Linked DNA regions of Schizosaccharomyces pombe. The protein of the gene in region 2 interacts with the protein of the main gene of each other region in a pairwise test. Each region holds a gene or a part of one and is shown on either strand. Other genes may lie near its edges.

Region 1 (6,953 bases), 2.4 Mb from region 2:
TTGTATACCTCGTTTTCTCAACCTTCCAAATCGGATGGGCCACTGGATGTCCGATGGCAAGAGACATTTGCAAAGTCCGATCTGTATATTAAACGCGTCGTATCTGCGTCGCAAAAGTTTTCTTACGTGATCTGTATAGATGAGGATTTGAATGATGGAAGATATCACGAAGAAACAGTTGGTAAACCGACGTCTGCGCCAGTTTTTGGGAAAAAACTTGAAATAAGTTTACAAAGGATGTCTTTACTTTGTTATACTGTTTCTGGTAGACTGCTTAATATTTCACAAGCTAAATCTCCTGTTCTTGCATTGCAGCTAACATCTATAAAAGACGTATCTGCTTTAGATAAAGCGCATCAGGATAATTCGGAAGATTTAAATAATCCGTTTATTAAAAATAACGATAAAACTAAGTTTCATCAAAATATTGACTGGATAGCTTTAGAGAAATATTTCGAAGTCAATGCATTGGATATTTCAGATTCAGAAAGTGAAGATTTGTCCGACATATTAAGTGATTCTGAATTCTCAATAGGAAACAGAAACAAAAATATTGGAAATAATGAATATAGTGCTCAAATATCATCGGATCCTGCAGAAGAGGAGATAGCTAACGCAATGCACTCTCTAAAGCTTGAACCCGAGACATCCATATATCTGACTAACCCAGGCAGCCTTTCGTTATTGGAATACCTTCTTCGTCTCTGTTCATTGCAAGAACTTCACCAGATTTCTTGTCTTGAAATGACTGATTCTCAGTTGGCTGCGATGTTGAATAGTAACTAAGCACGGGTTAATTTGGATCAACAAGCTCATGTATTTTTACTATTGAACGAAGTTATTTCGAAATAAAATTAATTATTTTTACAGACCTTGTCTACTTAATGACACAATTAACAAACAATCGTTATATTTATAAAATTTTCATAAAAATCGGATATCAGCAATGCTGATTTCAGCCAAAGAACGTATTATTTTATTGTCATGATTAAATGACTTTCAAAATGGACTACTTATCACTTGTACTCGTATCGTTTTTGTCATAATTTTTTTATTAATTCAAATACTTTTTTAAGAAAATGCTAATTAATCCAAGTGACCATAAAAAAATGAATCATTTGTAAAATAATAAACCCTCTTGATAGCATTAACAGTTTATAAATATACAAGATCTACCAAAATCTGAGATTAAATAATAATATATAAGTTTTGCGTGCCACACACTTCATCTATTTAAAGATCAATTTAAGCGTTATACGAAAACAGAAGGAAAGAAAGATGGAGAAAATAAACATAAAGTGCAATAGGTGAGCCAGCTCATACTTATCTTGCAGAAAACTTTTAAAAAATTCATGTTGAACCTGTTGTAATATGAGAAGGAGGAACACTGCTTGAGGTATATAATGGAGAGGATGCTGCTAATTCATCGTTTGTAAGTTCATAATTATTGCTAGAATTAACTTCGTGCTTGAAAGTATGATGGAGATCAGTATGACTTATGGTTTCCTTTTCTAAAGCTGAAATATGATTTAAAGCGGCTAATGTAGTTGCATTGTTTGGATGAGTAAGACAACCTAAGCATTCACAATTATCACCGCATTGACAAGCAGCATCAGCCTGTGCACAACTAGAGGGGAGAGTAAAATAATTAGAAAGCTGGATTGGATGTGGCAGATACGATGAGTCGACATGATTAGTGCTCTCATTTATGTTAATCTCGTACCCATAGGAATTAGAGGGTCCATATGTATTAGTTGATGATGGTAAAGGTACATAATTTCCATCTGCCAGCATAGCGAAAGTCAAAGGAACATCCGGCTGTGGGTATAAATCATGCGTAGCAGCAGCAGCAGCTATAGAATCAGTGTTGTTGTTGTAAAGAATTTGATATCCACTACGATAAACAGGAGGACCATAAACCGCTGCTTCTTCCGCTTCCTGAATACTATGTTGGGGAGAATGAGAATAATTATACTGAATTTCAGGAGGGAAATTGGTCGGCTGCTGGTAAGGAGATTTTAAATAATTATTATAGTTAGGAGGGTAAGCGACATTCGAAGTTAACTTTTCAATTGGCAAAAACTGGGATGGATACCCGTACTCAGACTTGAACTTTTCTGGTTCAGGAAGCATACGATAGGATTCCGAATGTGGTCTTTGAGACTGAAGTGGCATACCCATAAAGTCAGTTTGAGACTCAAGGTTTATTTTAAGAGGCATCACATCAGGTTTTTTACCACAGCACGAAGCACTCCTTTTTGGACAATGCGTTTTAACGTTGTCGCGCGGTAACAGTTTTTCAGATATAGAGGATGGGATAGAACAAGATGAGTTGGAAGCAGATGAAGAATCTAAATCAGTTGTACTCGAGGTAGAACATTTGGAACCCTTTTTTCTGCTATTACAGGTACACTTCACGTGTAAATGCCTAGTAATTCTAGCGATTCTACATTTTTCACATTGACTGATGGGACGACCTTTAGGTCTAATAGGAAAGAGTTCACGGTCATTATGTTTGCAGGTGCTAGAGCGATGCCCACGAATGCACTTCATGCATGCCATTTTAACGTTATTGATTACAACCATTTTGGAATATAGGATGAAAGAGGATTGCTTTAATGACAAGATTTTGGTTAAAACAAATTCACGTTCGAAGATGAATGACCAAATCTCTCAAATGGAAGCTCAATGGGAGGATGTAGAAGTAATGAATAAAACCAAGAAATAAAAATAAAAATAAAAAATATTGGATTATCAAATAAGAAATTAATGAACTTATTTATATAGATGCTTAGTAGAAAAGAAAATCACGAACGAGGAGAGAAGAAAAATTGCATGCGACATTCAGTTTTGGACAACGACGATATTTGGAGCAATTGATTAGTTGAAATTAGCCACTTTTATAAGAATGAAGTGTGTTTCTTTTTTTTTTTTTAAATAAAAAGTAAGTAATTTTTACAGATCAGTAGAACTTTTTTGCTCAAACCTGATAGCAGTGTGATATACTTTCCGGATGAACTTAGGTTCACCAAATTACAACAAAATCGCCCAAAAAGCAGTTTTCAAATATTAATTAACTTAGGAAGCCAAATTTTCCTTTACTAGAAGTATATACAGTGTTCACAATGTTTTATACCAAAGCAGATTTGTTTGGTTGTCGGAAACTGGGTGTTGGCTTAACCACAGCGCAAGCTATGCCTTCCGACAATATGTACGAAGAAGCTGCTTTTTCTGAAGGCAGTAATGATACGTGACAAGTTTGCTTAAAGATTTAAACTAAAGGAAGATCAAACTATTAACAGTTTTAAGATGAAAATCGATTCTCAAGGGATTCGAAAATTTTTTTTTAAATTTATTGAATAAATAAATACATTTAAGAAGACGAGGGTATGACTTTGAAGCTTTTGAGCTGTAATTTGTAATTAAATATACATATTTTTTTCAATTTGTTTAAATTCGTTCATCATGTTAAGTCCTTTATACAGTTTATTTCTTTTATACTTCAAAAATTTATTTCCTAAATTTGATTTTGCCAATTGTGCAACTTTTTACATTACTGTTCGCGATGTAAACATTTAAGATTAAAATTTTTTTTAATTTTAATTTATACAAAGAAAATTTGCTTTAATGTCGCTATTCGAATTTATGAACAAATTTTTTCTCTTTACTTACAGATTATTTTTTGGTTTCCAACTTATACAATTTAGGTACTATTAAAAAATAAAAAATAAAGGATAAAGCTTTATTTAACACCTAGTAACTACGTTAGTACAACTTTCTTTCTTATTACATGCATACGTCTAATTATTTACCCAAACATTTGGTAACCTCCTAACCTGCCTTTGTGGAGAAGTGACTTGACTGCTTTGCTATACAAACTAGCGAAAGTATTACCTTTTTTAAAAATCATTAATGCTCCATTACGTTAATTCAGAGATAGTGTATAATTGTAGCATAACACTGGATCAGATTATTGTAGCAATACGTTAAGTGGGGGGATTGGATTCAGCAGTTGCATTTGATTAGAGGTTTGTAATCTGGGTTTAGTCTTAATTTCTTGTAATTATTCGATGGATACGTAACGATATTTGATATTATAGAAACATCTAAAATAATATTTTTTTTTAATAGCTCTACAAGTTGTGCAACATTTATAACAGAAGCAGGAAACACACTAGCAATGTAAAAAATAATAACAATGAGACGTCAATGATATCCACATCTATAATTCGTAATTGTTCAGAGGCACACTTATAAATTAAAATGAAAATAAACCATTCCTCGATATATATCAGAGTCTTGCGAATTGATTCCAAAAACGGTAATGCATTGTGAATTAAAAGTTTTGCTATAATGATGGAAAGTTCAATGAGGCTATAGAAAGCGAGTCACACTACACGAGATTCAAATAATAATACCAAAAAGGTGCTATTGACTATTAAGCGTGTCTCAGGATTACTGTCCTTTACTAATCATAAAGCTTATTAAATATTTGGTTAACACTCAAAACTCAAACTTTTAATGCTGTATTATTCTAGCCACTCATATTTGCTATATTGTATTTGTACAATGTGGGATACTTAATTTCAATTAAACTGAAGATTAAGTTGTGCTAATGTTTATAGAGTAGAGGGGTTAGTTAAGAAAGGAGTTTGTTATATATCGATGGTGAATGAGAGTCGATTGAAGGTATCAATAAACAGCAAAAAACTGAAAAATTCAAACGCATAGCACTTATTTTTACTATGTGATGTTTAAGAAAAAATGTAATGAAAAGTTTAAAGTGGGGAAAGAAGGTTCTTACCAATATTCTGCACATCTGTCTCTAGTAAAACCCAATAACGTACCTTGTCCACTGAATCAAGCTTGCCCGGGTATTTCGTTGCATAGCTATGAATGAGGGATACGAAAACAGTCCCGCTTAATATATAAAAAACACGACTATTTTAAAAATTTTATTTACTTCGTACAAACTAGTGAAACATCTAAAATTGTTTAAAATTTACACAATAGTGTGTATAACGAAACTAGCTAAACTTTGTTTATGTAATGTGAGAAAGTATGTAATACTATATTACAGCAGGTTGCTTATAAAAACGTCACCACACAACAGTCCTTTAACCTTCGCTTTGTCTACATTATTGAAGTTATAAACCCCAAGAAAAAGTATTTTTGCATTTTTGTATACACAAATCAAATTTTAAGGGAAATTTTTTAACACGGTACTTTTCGTTTTTTTGTCTAATTGTTTCAGGGTAGTACATTCTCAAATAATCCAAAGCCGGGGTCTTTTGGGTTGTAATAGTTATTTACATAAAATTGTTGACTAAATATTTCAGAGAGAATTCATTATTCTTACTTTTGAATCCCTTTTCAAATATAAAATTGGTTCCTTGTGTTAGAGATGAATATTCTCTCAAGGAAAGAAAATGTCGCTTCCTACTTCGATATTCGTGTAGCTGCAGAGCATGATCTTATCGTAATTCAAGGCCTAGCAGACTCGGCAGAACCGACACCACTGTCAGGATCTGTAGTTCTGTGTCTCAATGAAGCCATCAGTGTCAAAGCAATATCTCTAAAACTAGTGGGAAAATGTCGCATCTCCTGGTCAGAACCTTCTCCGACTGTAAGAGGCGGCCAAAGACACAATAAGCAAGAATATGTTGTTTACGAGAAAAACTGGATCTTCGTTCCTTATACGGGTGCCAACCGTACTTTACGTGCTGGAAACTACGAGTATCCGTTTCACGTAATGCTTCCCGGTGATATTGCTGAATCTGTCGAAGGTCTTCAAAGTTGCTATGTTGTTTATCGTCTTAAAGCAAGCATCGATAGAACGGGTTTAGCTAGCAAAATGGTGAAAAAGAAACACATCCGTCTTATTCGAGCATTGCCTGCGGATGCCATTGAATATACTCAAACCATTAGCGTTGATAATACTTGGCCAAACAAAATTGAGTATACCATCAGCGTTCCAACAAAAGCCTATGCAATTGGGTCATATATTCCCATTCATTTTGTATTAGTTCCGTTGCTGAAGAGGCTAACTATTGGAAAAATCAGTATAACCTTGAAAGAATACATCACGTTGCATGTCGCTCATGGATATAACGGTTTACCGGCATCGAAAGATGAAGTCAGGACCGTTCGTTCTCTTCAAACCGAAGAATTGGAGGAGTTTTCCGATCACTATGAACTTACAAAGAACTTGGAACTACCAAGTTCTCTTGTGGAATGTCTTCAGGATTGTGATTTGGATGGAATTAAAATACGTCACAAATTAAAGTTTTCCGTTTCCCTAAGAAATCCTGATGGCCATATATCAGAATTAAGAGCTGCATTACCTGTAGTCTTGATGATACCTCCTCAATTATTTGGCGATCGTGCCGAAGTAGAGTCGTTACGCGAGAATTTTGAAAGTTTTAATCAGCCTTTACCTAGCTATCAAAACAGCATGTATGATCGTCTTTACGATGGTTTGAGCTATTCCAACCTTGATACACCTCTCCCTAGTGGCGCAACTACACCAAGGCGACGCGATTCTATGGAGCCCACCTATGCTTCTAATGAAGCTCATAGGCGACAACTCATTGCTGGTTTGACAGAGTTGGCTCTACAACAACAACCGCAAGGAAGGAGCCCCAACGAACATTCACCGTCAAATCATCCTGAAGATTTCCCGCCTTCTTTCAGTTTAGGCTCTAATCCATCCAGTGGAGCTGCCTCTGCTGTAATTACTAGAAACCCTTCAGAAACTAGTTTGGCAGATCTGAGCAGAGTCCCTTCTTATAAGGAAGCAACAAGATCAGCCGTTCCATTAGAATCACCCTTACAATCAACATTACCTAGTTATGAAGATGTTGCACGAATTGAGCACCTTTCACGTCCTCCATCACCTGGTATCGTTACTCCACCACAACGTACATCTCCTTCATTTTTTGTTTCTCCAACTG
Region 2 (10,575 bases):
GGTGGAAAAAGATGAAACAATTACGGATCCAAGAGAGATTGGTAAACTACCATAAATTTGATTAGCGAAATGTTTTTGGACCGCGTTATTTTTTTGAAAGGGTATTGCGATAGTGGTAGAAGGATATCGTTACAATAAGAAAGCAACAGGTTTATTATCAAAAAGTTTTAAGGCAATATGACTCTAAATTAATAATTTAAGAAATTTGAAGCGAAATGTATCATTAACTATAAAAAAATAAGTCTAGAGGTGACCAGGGAACTTTGTATACTAAAAACAAATATTTCCTAATTGGTGTTTGGAAAATAACACAAACGACATTTAGGAAATATTGTCTAGTGAGTTCGTTTAAAGAAAGCAAGAAACGGTTATTGATGAGTAAAAGGATATTTTGGAAAAGATATTGAATGGCAACAAAACATCTAATTTACAGACATCAAAATAAGCGAAATGACTAGGATATATATCCTACGTTAGATAAATAAAATAGCTTAAAAGGATGTATAACAGATAAAGGAAATTTTTATTCTGGATAAAAAAGATTGTCAAAGAGGAGTGATTAAATAAAATTGACAATCGTCTCCACCATGGTACGAACATCGGCCGCGGCAGCGATACCAACTTCCAAAACCTCCAAGTGATTTGCAGCACCCTTAGACATGACATTCGAATCAACCTCCACTAAGTCTTTGGCAGAGGGGCTCTCTTCAACAACAACGTTGTTGGTAACCAAAGAAATGGCAAGAACACGAATACCACAATGACGCGCAACGACTACTTCGGGAACCGTAGACATGCCGACACAATCAGCTCCCATAAGAGCAAGCATTCGACTTTCAGCGCGAGTCTCAAAACACGGACCAGATACAAATGCATAACAACCTTCGTGAATTGTACGGCTAACCTTGTGAGCCTTGGCAGCATCGTAAACCAATTTTCGTAATTCTAAATCATAAGCATCCGATAATGGGGGGAAACGTACACCAAATTCGTGTGCATTAGGGCCTCTGAGAGGGTTCATGCCCGCGAGGCCAGGAAAATTGATGTGATCTTTAAGAATCATCAAATCACCAACTTTGAAACCTTGATTCAAGCCGCCAGCTGCGTTGGTAACAACCATGACTTCAACGCCCATGACTTTCATAAGACGAACAGGAAACGTGGTAGCTTCTATAGGATATCCCTCATAAGAGTGGTAACGACCAGCCAAAATCATAGTGGGAACGCGTTTCTCGCCCAAAAAGGCAAAGTACAATTTGGATGCGTGACCTGGAACATGGGAAACATGAAAGTGAGGAATATCTTCATAAGGAACTTCATAAACTGGAGCCGACAATCCAGAGGCTAATGTGCCCAAACCGCTACCGCAAATGATGGCAACTTTGGGCTTGGAAAGCTCTTCGGGGACTTGTTCAATGATGTATTCACGAGCCTCAAGCGCTTTAATGTAAGGTTCAGTATGATGGGGTTGCTGTTTTGCCTGGTGAAGAAAAGATGTAGCAGTCATTGTTGTTACAGAAGAGTTTCGAAAAAAAAAACAGAAATTTTGTATAAAAAAAGAAAGCAAGAACTAATATCTAAAAGGGAATTCTTTATCTTTAATATTTATTAGGCGTATTAGTAGCCAGGAAAAAGAATTTAAGGAATTTTAAAAATATGCAGTGGTGGGTAAATAGGGCCGATAGAATCAGTGTTAATTTGTTTTGAAAATTAGATGGGAAAATCGATAGCAATAACAATACTAACTGAAATACAAACAATAGAATGCACAGAGTTTTGAATAATGTGCAAGCAAAGACGAAGAGCTGGGAGTATCTTGGCAATTGACCTTTATAGAATATCAAAACAAAATAGTAAAAAATAAATAGAAAACGACGATTTTTTGGCACACACTTGATGCTATGCTTAATTTAATTTTGTTTTGTTTTTGTTTTTTGCTGAATATATGTGTAATAAAATTAATATTAGCCGTGAGAACAGAGTAATTGGAAAACACAGAATTGAATCCAACAATTGTTACAGGGAATTAAGTAAGAAATGGTCTATATAAATACTTCTACAAATGTTATTACTTCAACATATCACAGAAAAGCAGAAACCGGTATTACAAAAAGTCACCGAAATACATAATTTATATACGGGCTTTGGCAAACAAATGCGATATTTAGGACAGTGCTGGTCGGATGAAAGCGCCTATCAATTCAAATTTTCTTCGTGCTTGATAAGGAAATGTTGCAGATAAGAATAATGAAAAAGAAGAAAAAAAAAGAATAAACAAAAGCAAAATGTTCAACAAATTTGAAAAAAATTTAGTTCAACTGTAAATCAAAAACACGTTAATTTTACATTTAAAAATGTAAAATATAATGCGGCCAGAGAGGTTCGAACTCTCGCGTTTTACAACAGCAGGGATCAAGGCAGAAGCCTCTTAAATCTGCCCCCTTAGACCACTCGGGCATAGCCGCTTAATTGTACAAACTAATTAAATAGAGGTATATATCTATAAAAATAGTTGCGTGTACTGTAAATTGTCTGGGTTTATTAGAGTATATGTACACAACCTGACTAAAATCGTATAAATTAGTTAAAAAAAATGCATTGGATTTTTTATACCTTGAGAGCCATGCCAACTCCAAAGGTCAATATTTGGTTTAATGATTTTTTTTTCCTTCCCTTTTCTTTATTTAACACACTAAATGTCGGGTAACTGCGAGTTAATAACGAACATGATCAGTTTAATTCAATTTTCATTCTTTTCTATTTCCATATAGAATTGTGGCTGTAACCGCGAAGCATTTCATACGGAAAGTCGCCTTTATTTACATAAGCAACATCTTTGTTGTGTGGCTATAGGAGTTAAAGCAAAAAAGGCGAATTACTAAAGCACAATGAAATGGCAAATCTTTAGTAATAAGTATATTATTTCGTGCCGATGTTCCATAAACTTGGTTAAAATAATTTGGAAACATGATTCTAGCTGTAATTCAATTTTTTTAAATTCATAACAATTTTTAATTTACTGAATGATAAACTTTCCTTCTGTTTTGATTTACTCGTTGACTTGTAAATTGATAATTAAACCATAAAATACCTAATAATTCATAATAAAAAAATTTAAAAAAATAAATTGATGTTTTTCAAATGACCTGTCTTTGCTAAATACTTCAAAACAAACAAACAGAAAAATCCACGTACGACACATTTATTTCTGGTTTAAACGCGGACGTTACGATCAAATTCTTACCGCATTTCTCCCATTCACGGAAACGACCGAACGTCTTACCGGAGGAAGTAAATTTTGTTTCAAAACTAATACCATTTTTTTAAAAAATTGCAATCTGCTGATACACTCAGTTTTATCGCCATCATTCTCGTTCCATTTTATGTTTACTTCATTCCCATCAATTTCTGCCTATAATCACGTTGTTAAATTTCCTTAAAATAGATAACGCAAAACGATTGGATACGCTGCATGCTTGCTATTCTTCTTCGTGTTTCTTTGCCAGCCTTGCGGCCACACCTTTTACCTCCAACACAACACTTGTTCTTTTGCATTTCTACCCTGGGACGTTAGGCAGTAGCCTTTAACTGTATACATTCTTTCATTCTCTTGTTTCCATTGAGTACAAGACAAATTTCTATCGCGTGAAGCATCTCTTGGGACGAGGAATTTCGTTATAAACAAGAGAATTTGGAATATTTATTTGGTTTTTATTTATAGTAAGGAGGTAAGCACTTTGAACGCTCGTGTAGATACGTGTTATTTTCCTTGGTCTTCTTTTAGGAAGGATCTTGTTATCTTTCGATTTCCTGTTCTTCGATCTCTTGTTTGAGTTAATTATTGTTTTTTCTCTATTATTTTTGCAAGGGAGGAGTAATTAATCAGCAAGTAGGAGATTAAAAATTTATATTATTTTGTTTCTATTCGATAAAATTAATTTTTCTTCTACTTTTTTTTATTTTTTTTTTCAAATTTCTAACTTGATTGCTGAAGTCCTTTATACATATACAATCGCATAAGGTTGAGGTAATTATCCTTTTCTTTTTACTTAAGACATTTGTTCAATACGTTGCCAACCATCAATTTACATTTTTTGCTTTTTGATTTGTAAATATGGAGGGCATCCTGGCATTCGATCGCGAATTAGACGTTGCCCTTTTGGATCGTGTTGTCCAAACCTTTTACCAAGGTGTCGGTGCAGAGCAACAACAGGCTCAACAAGTCCTGACCCAATTTCAGGCACATCCAGATGCATGGTCGCAGGCTTACTCCATCTTGGAAAAATCAGAATATCCCCAAACTAAATATATCGCTCTTTCCGTCCTTGACAAGCTTATCACCACTCGTTGGAAAATGCTTCCCAAGGAGCAGCGATTGGGAATTCGCAATTATATTGTTGCTGTTATGATAAAGAACTCGTCAGACGAAACTGTCCTGCAACAACAAAAAACTTTTCTTAATAAATTGGACCTCACTCTCGTTCAGATTCTTAAACAAGAATGGCCTCATAATTGGCCCAACTTCATCCCGGAAATTGTCCAAGCCAGTAAAACAAACCTTTCACTTTGTGAAAATAACATGATAGTCCTTCGTCTTCTGAGTGAAGAAATTTTTGATTACTCAGCTGAGCAAATGACTCAGCTCAAAACCAAAAATTTAAAAAACCAAATGTGTGGCGAATTCGCCGAGATTTTTCAACTATGCTCACAAATTCTCGAACGTGCGCAAAAACCTAGCCTAATCAAGGCTACCTTGGGAACACTTCTCCGATTTTTGAATTGGATACCCCTTGGCTATATATTTGAAACAAACATTGTTGAGTTAATTACAAATCGATTCCTAAATGTTCCTGATTTTAGAAACGTTACCATTGAATGTCTTACCGAAATAGCTAGTCTTACTTCTCAACCTCAGTACAACGATAAATTTGTTACAATGTTTAACCTTGTGATGACCTCTGTTAATTCTATGCTTCCTTTACAAACTGATTTTCGTGAGGCTTATGAAGAAAGTAGCACAAACGAGCAAGACTTTATCCAAAATTTGGCTCTCTTCCTTTGCGCTTTCTTTAGCTCTCATCTTCGACCATTAGAAAATCCTGAAAATCAAGAAGTCCTTCTTAATGCTCATTCCTACCTTCTTAATATCTCGCGAATTAACGAGCGAGAAATTTTCAAGATCTGCCTGGAATATTGGTCAAAATTAGTAGCTCAGCTTTATGAAGAAATGCAGCAAATCCCCATGTCTGAAATGAATCCATTACTTAATCTTTCTAGTCCTACATCTCTCATTTCTTCTAATCCTAATATGTTAGCCAATCTTCCTTTAAGGAAACATATCTATAAAGATATACTTTCAACTCTTCGATTGGTTATGATTGAAAACATGGTCAAGCCCGAAGAAGTCCTCATCGTCGAAAATGACGAAGGTGAAATTGTTCGTGAATTTGTTAAAGAGACGGATACAATTACCCTTTATAAATCTATGCGTGAGGTTCTTGTGTACCTCACTCACTTGGACGTGGTTGATACTGAAATCGTTATGACTGAAAAACTTGCACGTATTGTTGTTGGTACAGAATGGTCTTGGCAAAATTTGAATACTCTTTGTTGGGCAATCGGCTCAATATCCGGTGCTATGAATGAAGAAATGGAAAAGCGCTTTCTTGTTAACGTGATTAAAGATTTATTGGGCCTTTGTGAAATGAAACGTGGCAAAGATAATAAGGCTGTTGTTGCCTCTAACATTATGTACGTTGTAGGTCAATATCCTCGCTTTTTAAAAGCTCATTGGAAATTTCTCAAGACCGTCGTCAATAAGCTATTTGAGTTTATGCACGAATATCATGAAGGTGTTCAGGATATGGCTTGTGATACATTCATTAAGATTGCTCAAAAATGTCGTCGCCATTTTGTTGCTCAACAACTGGGAGAAACGGAGCCGTTTATCAACGAAATTATTCGTAACTTGGCCAAGACGACTGAAGATTTAACTCCTCAACAGACTCATACTTTTTATGAGGCGTGCGGTTATATGATTTCTGCTCAACCTCAAAAACATCTTCAAGAACGTCTCATTTTTGACCTTATGGCGTTACCCAATCAGGCCTGGGAAAATATTGTCGCTCAGGCTGCACAAAACGCTCAAGTTTTAGGGGACCCTCAGACCGTTAAAATATTAGCAAATGTTCTAAAGACAAACGTTGCTGCATGTACTTCTATTGGTTCCGGTTTCTATCCTCAAATTGCTAAAAATTATGTAGATATGCTTGGTCTTTACAAGGCTGTTAGCGGTTTAATATCAGAAGTGGTTGCTGCCCAAGGAAATATTGCTACCAAAACTCCCCACGTCAGGGGATTACGAACTATCAAAAAAGAAATTTTGAAATTAGTAGATGCTTATATAAGTCGAGCGGAAGATTTGGAGTTGGTCGGAAATACTCTCATTCCTGCGCTTTTCGAAGCAGTGTTGCTTGATTATTTACAAAATGTTCCTGACGCTCGTGATGCCGAAGTTCTTAATTTGATAACCACCATTGTCAATCAACTTAGCGAACTCCTTACTGATAAGATTCCTCTTGTTCTTGATGCTGTTTTTGGATGCACCCTTGAAATGATTAGTAAAGATTTTTCGGAATACCCCGAACATCGTGCAGCATTTTTTCAACTTTTACGCGCCATTAACTTGAATTGTTTCCCCGCTTTGCTCAACATCCCGGCACCACAATTCAAACTAGTGATCAATAGTATTGTATGGTCCTTTAAGCATGTTAGTCGCGACATTCAAGAAACCGGACTTAACATCTTACTTGAACTTATTAATAACATGGCGAGTATGGGACCTGATGTTTCAAATGCATTTTTCCAAACTTATTATATTAGCTTACTACAAGATATATTGTATGTTTTGACTGACTCTGATCACAAATCTGGCTTTAAGCTTCAAAGCTTAATTTTGGCTCGGCTTTTCTATCTGGTTGAATCAAACCAGATTACTGTACCTCTCTACGATCCTTCTCAATTCCCCCAGGAAATGAACAATCAATTATTTTTAAGACAGTATATCATGAATCTACTAGTCACAGCTTTCCCCCATCTTCAACCTATCCAAATCCAAGAATTTGTACAGACAGTGCTAGCTCTTAATCAGGACAGCATCAAATTTAAACTTGCTTTACGTGACTTTTTAATTCAATTGAAAGAATTCGGCGGGGATAACGCTGAACTTTACTTGGAGGAGAAAGAACAAGAGTTGGCTGCTCAACAAAAAGCCCAACTGGAGAAAGCTATGACTGTTCCTGGTATGATCAAACCTGTCGATATGCCTACTATGGAGGAGGAAGAACTATGATATTCTTCAGCAAAAACGTATTTAAGCTTAGAACTTTAAAATATGAAAGGAATTATATATTTGGTATCTTTTACTATTGACTTAATTGTGGATGTTATTTATCCCTGTTACTTGAGAAGTTTACTTAATTCCTTTTTTTTCTTTTTTTTTTTTTTGAAAAGCAAGAAGGGTTTTTGACATGACATGGCCCGTAATTCAACGTGTTAGATAGCAAAATGATGGCGCCAGTTGTTATTGATTGCAATTCAAACTATATAAAAAAGTAATAAAAAAGCATAAAGTCTTTAGAGATTCAACTTTCCGTGCAGTGTTGTAAATTAGAAAATTAAAGCATTGTAAGGATTTGGGTTGCCTCATTTTTTATACTGTTTATAAATTGAACGAGCAGCTATACTTGAATAACACTATGAAGTCTCGTGTAAGAGATCTCAATGCGACGTTGAAGTCCTTTTTATTGAATGCTGGCGTTATGCAACCTTGCTAAAGGAAACACCAACGTATTTTCACATAACTACGTTTTTGCTTCTAGAAAATGTATTATTACCTTTAATAAATTATGTAGCTACTACTATTCCGTTAGAGAATACGGTAAGAAAGAAAAACGAAAACATTAAACATAAATCAAACTTACAACTACAAATATGACTATTCGTGTAGTAATTTGGAATAAAAAAAATTCCAAATTACAAAACATCACCTAACTAAAACCTTTTTGAGAATTCCGTAATTTACCATGTGAACTTTCGTCTCTTCTGACTTTGTCTAATAAACAGACAATCAGACCCAAAACCTGAATACTAAAATTCAACTTCTTCACGCAAATTAGAGGAGATGTAGTTCAATGCTAAGGTACTCGACATTCCCCAAATACCCACTCGCCATCCACGATACAAACCTTCTATTCCAAATTTACCCGGATCTTCTTCGCTTAAAAGACACCATATGGTACCGACGATACCAGTGTATTTGCCTACGGGAACGATAGTTTGGGGTGGAAGGTTGCATTCATACTGGGCTTGTGCTCTTCGAAGTACCATTTCTAAAGGGCATTTGAGAAGAAATTGAACGGCTGAAGTGCCCAAGCCAACCATTGCATCAAGTGTAGGAGATGAGCCCAAAAAGTTGCGGAATGTTAGTGGAAGCACACTCGAAACAAATGGTGGTAAGCTGACATAACAAACTGTGGGTAAAATTAACGATGAAGGGCAGTAAAAAGGCAATGCTTTCAAGCATTGTCTGATAGTAAGAGGTTTAAATTTTTTATGCGAATTGCCAGAAGTTTCAGAAGCTGAAGACAAATAGGAAGATGAGGAAATGGGGAAAAGAATTATTTTTGTTCTGGCAATATCAAGGGGAGATAGAATAAGAGCAGAGATCGCAGAAGTAATGGATTTGATGAAAAGGGAAAGAAGAGGCCGAACAGAATCTATAGGTGAAATAATGTTTGGATCTGCTATTGCGAGAGCTCCAGATAATGTTGCCGAAAGCCAGGACTGTAGGCCGGAATAAAGTAAGTTATGCAAAAAGCTGATTGTATGACCTTTCCATAAACCCCTAGCTCCTTCTTTCTCCCATAGCTCACTAATGATACTTTTAATCGAAAATCTTTTCGAATGAATTGTATAGCTTCTCTCGATGAGATTCGAAGGATCAGTTACATAGCCAGACGCATCGACGCAAAGTTTCTCAGCTAGCTGTTCTGTTACTGCCTTTTCTGTGGTAGGTGTTTCAAAGTAAGCATAGATTTCGTGTTCATCATCACTGAGACCTTCCTGTTCTGTGCCATCGGGAATATCCTCATCATAAGGCTCCTTTGTTTGTTTCCCATCACGCTCAATTTTAGTTCGTTTTGGTAAATATTCTTCTACTTGACAGACAGTTTTTGCTACTTCCAATGGCTGTACAAAAAACGTCGTTAAATATTTGGTCACTAGAATACTTCTGAGTGTCTCAAAAATCTCACTCTTGCTTATGGTCGGTTGCGTCTCAAACGTTGGTTCTGGAGTTATCGAAAAAGTAGGCTCAACATTGTTAACCACGACATATGGTCTGTATGGATTCATGCTGTATGCTTGCTCTTTTCCAAAATGAGTTCTCCAAACTCGTTTACGAATGATTCAATATATAGATTTAACTGCAAATAATTTCAAAAATTGCTTAGCTTTGGATAAAAAATTAATAAAAGAAGTCGTTAACCTTCATCAATCCTTTGAATTCTGGTAAATTAACAAACTTTTTGGTACCAAAGTGTGATGGCTTATAGTAAGGTATCACCAACTTGAAGGTATGATACGCACAGAAAGCAATGGACCCAAAAGTTACTATACACCAAATTCTGCAAAATATTATTACGACAATCACTAGACATTATTAAAAAATCTACTAAATTATCTTAATGAAAATTGGTAACAACTCAAGAACAAACAGTTAAGTTTGCTGTGCGCCTGCTTTGAAAATGAAAATCAATAACTGGACGTACAATCCAATAATAAATGTTTTATACTTACATTTCAATTCAAATTGTCAAACACAAAAATGCAAATCTTATATCTCCACAATGACTAAAAGCAAGAATTTAAAACTAAAACACTTCAAAAACGACCATACAAAGTCGGTTCAATACATGCACAAATAGTTGTTGAAAGCACATACATAAGTATATATATCTATATTTATATAATGATCATCCTTCAAATGCCATTCAACTCATTCTGATCCACTGAAACAACAAACCAAAGTTTACGCGAGCAATTAATACATGATAGACGATAATAATATGTACATTAAGGTAAATGCCTATCAAACTCACAAGTAAAAGAATATGAGAAAACTTTGTAGAAAGTTAGGAAAAAAGGAACACGTAGAAAAAGGAGCGTTCCATCGAGCTTGAAATATCCGTCCAAACTTTACTAACTTTTGTTCAAGTAGATTGGGGTTGTTTTAGAAACAAGAAATTATTACTTTGAACTAGACGCAAACCACACGAACTAGACAAAAGATGTTAAAAAGAATGGAAATATTTGGCAGAAAGGAAAAGAACTCGAAACGCGACGCATCCCTAATTATCGAATGGTAAATAGAAAGAGAGAACGCAGAAACTTGAAGATGTCGAAATGTCACCCAATATACACAAAAGAAAAGGGAAATGAAGAACGAAGGCACATAAAGAAGCAAACGACTATTTTAACCCGCTTTCTATTTTTCTTTAAAAGGATGTCTTAAAT

What was found.
Region 1: the proteins of crm1 (region 2) and cuf1 interact in a two-hybrid assay, tested with the Schizosaccharomyces pombe proteins (one study listed by BioGRID).

What each region holds. Positions count from the first base shown.
Region 1 is NC_003424.3:406,680-413,632, forward strand, and holds cuf1 (Cu-sensing transcription factor Cuf1), read right to left. Parts: upstream 3,167-6,953; 5' UTR 2,587-3,166; coding exon 1,351-2,586; 3' UTR 1,035-1,350; downstream 1-1,034. Other genes in the region: SPOM_SPAC31A2.10 (Ran GTPase binding protein), read left to right, coding at 1-786; rod1 (arrestin/PY protein 1), read left to right, coding at 5,405-6,953. UniProt on the Schizosaccharomyces pombe protein: Copper-sensing transcription factor that regulates iron uptake genes. Under copper starvation conditions activates the transcription of the copper transport genes, ctr4, ctr5 and ctr6.
Region 2 is NC_003424.3:2,800,394-2,810,968, forward strand, and holds crm1 (karyopherin/importin beta family nuclear export signal receptor Crm1), read left to right. Parts: upstream 1-3,530; 5' UTR 3,531-3,728; intron 3,729-3,994; 5' UTR 3,995-4,114; coding exon 4,115-7,351; 3' UTR 7,352-7,860; downstream 7,861-10,575. Other genes in the region: SPOM_SPAC1805.16C (purine nucleoside phosphorylase), read right to left, coding at 560-1,507; transport protein Ugo1, read right to left, coding at 8,149-9,414.